Tribolium castaneum: one gene and its partner. The protein of the gene in region 1 purifies or fractionates together with the protein of each later gene. This does not show direct contact. Links are inferred from orthologs where the notes say so. Each region holds a gene or a part of one and is shown on either strand. Other genes may lie near its edges. The genes, in order: Oseg6 and IFT43.

Region 1 (3,211 bases):
ATTAAACGGAAATACACATTTATTATTCCATTCTTGTAACTGAATAAAAAAGACGACTTGTTGGTATAGTATTAGTACGTATTAATATTTTTTTTAATAAAAAAATATTTTTGATCAATGATAATATAACTAAATGCTGAAGACTACTATTTTCTAGCAAATAATTAGGTATTTGTGATCCTACTAGGGATGACCGGAAAAAAAAACTTTGAATTGTTGATTTCTTATAAGATGTTATGCAACCAATATTACACGTGTGCAGATTGTGGACCATATCAGTCGCTTTAGAGGCGATTTCAAAAAAATGAGTACTACAGACGATTCTGCGTCCAAATTTCATTATGAAATTATATTTTAAGAGAAAAAATATCGTGTGTAAATTTTTATGGATCGATAAAACGCTGGAAGCATTGAACTACTGGTACTTAACAAACGCAATCGTTTGTCCGTGTAGTGTTTTTTTAGAGGTGGTGGAAACTTTGAAGCATGTGAAAAAAACACAATTTTCTTTCATTTTTTATTTCACAATTCAACAATAGTCTATTGCACTAAAAAATGGACGGATAGTTTCATTCGCTAAAATCACTTCTTGCTAAAATCTAATTGTACTAAAATAAATAAATAAATAATACTCCAATCACGAGATCAAAAAAGTTATTCAACGTTCAAATACGGCTTAGGATCGTCAATTTTGGGTAACCGGCGAGAATCAACCTTCTCCGAACACATGGGACAGGAATCTTCACTATCAAGAATCCTGAAAAACAATTCAAAAATACATCATTTTAATTCACAGTTATTTTACTCAATAAACTGCGACCGCAAAGCCGGGAAATCACACTCAGGACAAGCGGTCAAGTCCGTTGTAACAATATGGCGGCCCTACAACCCCACAATAAATAATAATAAATAATAATTAAAATGCCACAATTACCGTAACAACACAAAACGGGATATTATTTTTACAACCGTTACAATTCGTCTCCGTCTCGGGCAACAAATTCTCGCAGTACGGACACGGCGTCAGGGGCTCCACGGGGTCACCGCCCCCGTCCCCGGCCTTCCCCGACTTGGGCGGCTTCCGCACCACCGCCTCAATTTTCTTCGCGTATTTGGCATCGACATTTTTCCTGTACTCGGGATTCATCAACATCGTCGCGTATTTAAAAGCGGCATGTTTGAGCCCCGCCCGGTGACACTCTATAACCGTGGACGTTAAAATAGGAACTTTATCTACGGACAAATGAAACAGTCGCAAAACTAGCCGCTTTTGTGCACTCACGGGACGGAAACTTCGATATGTTGTTGGCCACCCTGATCAGCATTCGGGCCCCTTTCAGGTGGTCGCCCCTCTTGACATGCAGCCGCACCAGGATGTAACTGTGCAGTAGCATAAGATTGGCTTGCATTTCGTTGGGGACTTTGATTCCGTTCTGCTTCAGCTCTTGGTACATTGCGAATAAAACATCGTGGGCGTTCCGGTAATTACCATTGATTTGCTCCTCGTTTGCGATAATGAGGGCCGACTTTGACGCCTCCTTGTATTGCTTCCGCGCCATGTACAGACGGAATAGGTATTTCGGGTCCTTTGGCAGGCCGTCCGACTCGCCCAGAAGAAATTCGATCAGTTGGGACGACAGTGCCTCGTTTTTTGAGGACGCCACAACGTCTATTGCTGCAGTTATAGCTTCGTTTTCCTTCGAATTCGATTTGGCGGCCTTGAGGAGGTGTTTCATGGCCTTGGCATATTCCTTAGCGTGAAACCAGTAAATCCCCGCCAGTAAATTGTTTCGTTCATTCTCAAAATGCGTAGCAATGCTGTTAAAATCGTGCGGTCTTAACTCATCCGGTGCCAAGGTATTGAGCAAAATCTCGCCGTAAAGTTGCATTTTGCCGTGCTTTCGGGCCAAATCAAACGCCTCCTCGTTACATTTCGACATGACGAGGAATTTGATGGCAGAAGTGTAGTCGTTTAATTTTTGGAAAAATTTCGCTACGAGTTTGGCGCCTTCCGTACTCTTGGTCTCTTGGACCAGCTCAACGGCGATTTCAGGGTTGTTCAGGTGTTCCAGTTGGAGTCGTATCACGGAATCGTAGTCCTTGGCTGTGTAATACGCCCGGACTGCCTCCTCATACTTACCTTCGTTTTCTTTCGCAACAGCGTACTGAAGATGTATTTTATTCGAGGTGATTTTGGGCAACAGCTCGCCGATTTTCTGCCAATTTCTCAGCTTGATGTAGTTCAAAGCGGCCCGATCGTAATTCTGACACTTTTCAAACAAGTTTGCAGCCTCATTTAAGTGTTTGTTTTTTTCGAGAATCTCGGCACACTCTTTCAACAGTTGTTTGTTGTCCAATTCTAACGCTATGCTGATGCCGTGTCGCGTGTTATTACAATGTAGGGCGGTTCTCGCGATTCCGGCCTTGCAAATAAACGTATGTTCGGGGCTTAAATCCTCCTGAAGCCCCTTTTCGTAATGAATATGCGCTTCGGAGTAGTTCCCTCTAAACACGTCGTTATTTCAATAAAAGACAAGAGAAAAAAAATTACGTGAATTCGAGCTGTTGGGCGTATTCGCGTGAAATCAGCGCGATCTGTTCCGGGGCCATTTTTTTCGCCAGTTGCAACGCTTGGTCCCACTGGAGGAGATCCCGTCTCATTTCTAGCGCAGCCACTGGATAACTCGAACCCATGAACCAGTCTTGAGCCAAATCGAAATCGTTCAAAAACATCGCAACGTAACCGCATAATAATTTATGGTCTTCGACGCCGGCGATGCTCTCCAAAGACCACACCATGGAGACGTCGTCCAGGAGTTTAAATACCCGAATTGCCAAGTCTATTTCCAAGTGTTTCATCGCTTCAACTGCGAGTTTTCGCCACAATTCCTCCGACTTGAGCGTCTCGCAAGTGGTCCAAGCGGCCGAAAATCTATATAAAGTTATTAACAAATAGAACACGACTGGGTGGTTACCTATACAATGCGATCTGTTTGTTAAAATTGGTTTCTTGGATCGTTTGGTCATGTTCGTTAACGCCGATTTGAGGCGAGTCATGGGTGTTTAAAATTAGTTGAGTTATCTGACCGCCAGGTGTGGCTGATATTACTTCACCCGAGTACATTAATAGAGGGATTTGTTTGGTTACAAGCGAGGTTTGGCCCACTTTTTGGACCGAGGAACCTAAAATTGGGTGTTTTTACATTTTCAC
Region 2 (3,932 bases), on another chromosome or scaffold:
GGATTTTTTGCACGGAGCACAGTTCCTTACGCGTTTACCTGACGATTTGTCGTCAGATCAGTTATTCAGAAGCATACAAGCGGTTACGACAAGTATAGGAAAGCAAAACTTTTGCCAAATTGTTGATAAATATAGCCTTTCTGTCAGGTAATAAAATTCCAATTGTTTTTATAAGAGATATTTATTTAGGTGTTGGTTTTGTGAAAGAAACTCAATTAAGTAATACTTGAACTAGATGAAAGGAAAACAGATTTGTATGTTAGTTTTTAGCTTGAAATGCAGTTTTGCAGTATAATTATATCATATTTATTTCCGTCCAGTTACATAATTACAGAATCTCGTTGAAGGTGCTTATGCATTTTCTGACTGTTTCAGGTGAATATACTTTTTAACAAACGATAAATTACGCTTGAAAGTATCGTTTACTCTTTATCTTCTCTAACTTGCCATTGTCTTTGTTTGATACTATGTGTAATTACGAAAACAAATTTTTGTCATTTTTAAAGATGGTTTTAAACTTTTTTTTAGATAAACTTATATATGTAATGTTCATATTTAACAGAGTTACATTTTAGTCAAAGGCTGTGTAAAATTATGATAAATCCATTGTTGGCGACATTGTGTTAAGGTTGGTAAAGATTTTAACATTTCTCAATTTGGTGTTGTAGAACGGCCATCCTTAATGTAATTTCCTTGTTGGCTGTCTGAATAATTAAAAAAATTAAAAGTAATTGTGATTTTAAAGTTTTCAATAGGAAGTTTGCAGTAAGTTTTTGTTGTGTGTCTCATCGTAGCAATAATTATATGGTTCATCTGTACAATATAAAAAATTTAATGCAAACTCCTGAATTTATTTTAGCAGTGGTAAAGTCGTACAGAGGATATACCGTTTTTACACCTTTTTCTGATAATTAACTTTAACTAATTTTTATGAACCATTATATCTAGACTCCAGTAAGGATCTAGGATGTAAAAACGGTCATTCTTTGGTACGGCTTATACGAGTATGTATGTATATAAAAACGCTGAAACAACTTGTATCTATGAAAATGCTTCATTTTATTTTTTGTAATTTTAAGATAATATGCATAATTTATTAAATAATTTATCGATAGCAAGTGACTAAAATAATATGACATTTGTAAAATGACATTTGTTCTTTTAGGGATCTTGTAGATATTCGCTTCTTTTAAAGTTACAGGCATGATTATGATTTATGAACTGTTTGTATTGTTAACATTTAAGTAAGATTATTTTTTTTATTCGTATACAATGGAAATTAAGATATTGAATTGATATGTACATTTTATAAAAAATAAAACAGGAAATGTACCTGACTGTACCTTATTTATTTGGACTAAAAAAGCAGTCGCCCAATAAAAGTTTTAACATTGAGACATTTTAGTTTTTAATGTTGGTGTCATTGGTTATCATGGTGGCTGTTTAATGTTTATTCTAACCCAACTTGTAAATTAATTGATTTTTGTTGAATACAAACAAATCTAGCATGAATTGGGACGAAGACATAGACTTACTTCCAAATAAGAAAGTAAGTTTTATGTTTTTGAAAACTGATTATTTAACTATAGGTTAGTCTGCTACTAAACACGGACGGCGGGCAAGCAATGCTCCTGCAAGTCCAGAAGATCAGCCACAAAGTTCAACCAAAAAAACGCCACCAGAAGTGCCTATAAGAACTAGGAAAACTGGGGGATGGGCTGATGAGGGCGTAAAATCTGCAAAGTAAGTTTTATTGAAATCGCAAGTGAGAAGTGCTCACAAACTTTTAGGGTGAAAGGATCAAATATAATTGAGCAGTAAGTGTGCACTTTGAAGTAATATTTTGGTAAAATTATTATTAAATAACGTTAGAGAACGCTTTCAAAATGAAAAACCACAAGATTCTGAGGATGATATTCCAGTAATACCTGACATTGATGATATTGCCGATGATCCACTTAATTTGCCTGATGTAAAGGTCCCTAAGTGAGTAAAACAGTAGGAAAATGTTAATTATTTAATTTGATTATTCTCGTGTAGCATAACTGTGAAAGAATCAACTTATAAAGAACTGGATAGTCAGTTTGAAACAGGCCAACCAAATTTTGGAAATATTGGAGATGTAGACTTGTCTATTTTAACAAGCAGACTTTATCCAGAGAAAGATGTTCAAAGATGTACGGAAGTGTGGACTATGGAGTCATTGTATCAAGACCTTACGAAACAATGACTTCATCGTAACTTTTTTTACATTTTTTTTCCACAAGGATGTATTTATGCACACATTTTGCAGGTCAGAGCACTTTTAAATTAATTTTATTCATTATATATTTTACAATAAGTGCCTAAATATAAATGTACGTTGTTAAAAAAAGCCTTAGTCAGTATTTCTGTGACAAATATTAGAAAACTGACTCCGAGACCAGTCGCCAGAAACCAGAAAACATGTTTGAGGTGATGGAATTTTAAAACGTTTTCATTATCAGACGAAAAACTATCATAATTATATTTTGGAACGTCCTTAACCACCTTGTATTGCTGTTCTCGTAACAACCACTCGCTGATTTTGTCCAAATAAGGGGAATGTTTCTTAAAAATATACGTACTATGACTCGGCACTAAAACTTCTCTCATTACATAAAAGACAGTTCGCTTATGTTCATTTCTCATCATAAGTTCGATACTTTTTGCCGAACTCCACGACAAGCCATAAGCTCCAGACGTGTTCAAATCATTGTAGATCATCTCGGTCCTTTTTTTCCTATTATCGAGATAAATAAAACGTTTGCGAAGACTGTCCTCTTCGGAAATTCGGTTAGCCAAAGGATGCGAAATGTAAATTTGTATTTGGCTTTGCTCTAATTCCTCAACCGAATTTATTTGATTACTCGGATTTGCTGTCATGAAATTAGTAATCAGGAAACACTGAAATGCCGTTCTGAAGATAATTGAGCCAAAAATAAAAACACAAATTTGTATTTTTGCACTGCAACGTTTCTTATTCAGGTTGGGAAAGGGGTAACCCAAAAGACTCGAATAAATGTATAACACTGTCACAAGAAGCAATTTTCGGAAATTACTTTCGCCCAATAGTGACGTAATTGAAACTGTTACAATTACCACTAAAAAAAGTATCATGGGAATCACCTCGAACAGGATAACAGTGGCAGAACTAGACGTTTCGTTAAACGGCAACAAAATTGCCAAACCATTGATTTCATGGGGGTACGTAAATTCTGCGTTTTCGTACGCATGAGGGCCTCTGAAATGACTAACGAAGCAAAAATCTGTCAGCCCGTTTAAAATATCGTTGTAACACCCTTGGTAGTGCGTATTTTCAGGTGGTTCGATAATTTGGAACGTTGAGTTTAGCTTTTCTGTGACCATTTCCAAAACATTGTAGTCTCTCCCTATCCACTTGTTGTCCGATTTGTTTACAAGAGGGAAGTTTATGAAAAAACCGACTCTGAGGTTGTAACCATGCAAATTTTGCAATTTGTTCGGAAAATATCCGGGAGTGTGGGTCAGATTCAAAATTCTATCAATAAATGGATTGTACGTAAAAATTTGCAACGTCTCTTGCACAAAAACAACAACGAAATTAAGTATGTGGTTTTTCCATACAGTTTTCACAAAGTTTTGTAAAAACGCAACCGAATCAATTCGTTTACAAATTATGAGGTGTGTCTCGCCTCTCACATTCCAAAGTGTGTAGTTCTGTATCCGTTGTATATCTCTTTCGATTTCGTTCAGATCTTCGATAAAGATAAAAGCAGCTTGCGTTTTGGACATTATGCTTGTTTCGGTAAAAAAATCACTTATGGTGAGCGATGGACATAAGTTACGCTTGAGGAAGTCGTCGGAAATGTGTCTCGTGTCTGGTAAATTAACATTAAAGTAGCTGCAAGATGTGTAATTTCCAAATAATTGAT

The links.
Region 2: the proteins of Oseg6 (region 1) and IFT43 purify together in Homo sapiens (affinity purification with mass spectrometry; 3 studies listed by BioGRID and IntAct, counting the BioPlex papers as one, with this or other methods). This does not show direct contact. The link is inferred for Tribolium castaneum from reciprocal best matches to the Homo sapiens genes WDR19 and IFT43.

The regions. Positions count from the first base shown.
Region 1 is NC_087402.1:3,490,408-3,493,618, forward strand, and holds the end of Oseg6 (WD repeat-containing protein 19), read right to left. Parts: intron 3,184-3,211; coding exon 2,976-3,183; intron 2,933-2,975; coding exon 2,552-2,932; intron 2,506-2,551; coding exon 1,283-2,505; intron 1,234-1,282; coding exon 935-1,233; intron 883-934; coding exon 806-882; intron 758-805; coding exon 655-757; 3' UTR 504-654; downstream 1-503. UniProt on the Homo sapiens protein: As component of the IFT complex A (IFT-A), a complex required for retrograde ciliary transport and entry into cilia of G protein-coupled receptors (GPCRs), it is involved in cilia function and/or assembly.
Region 2 is NC_087394.1:35,543,681-35,547,612, forward strand, and holds the start of IFT43 (intraflagellar transport protein 43 homolog), read left to right. Parts: upstream 1-1,403; 5' UTR 1,404-1,507; coding exon 1,508-1,549; intron 1,550-1,594; coding exon 1,595-1,743; intron 1,744-1,790; coding exon 1,791-1,817; intron 1,818-1,872; coding exon 1,873-1,986; intron 1,987-2,040; coding exon 2,041-2,230; 3' UTR 2,231-2,293; intron 2,294-3,932. Other genes in the region: TBC1 domain family member 12, read left to right, coding at 1-151. UniProt on the Homo sapiens protein: As a component of IFT complex A (IFT-A), a complex required for retrograde ciliary transport and entry into cilia of G protein-coupled receptors (GPCRs), it is involved in ciliogenesis.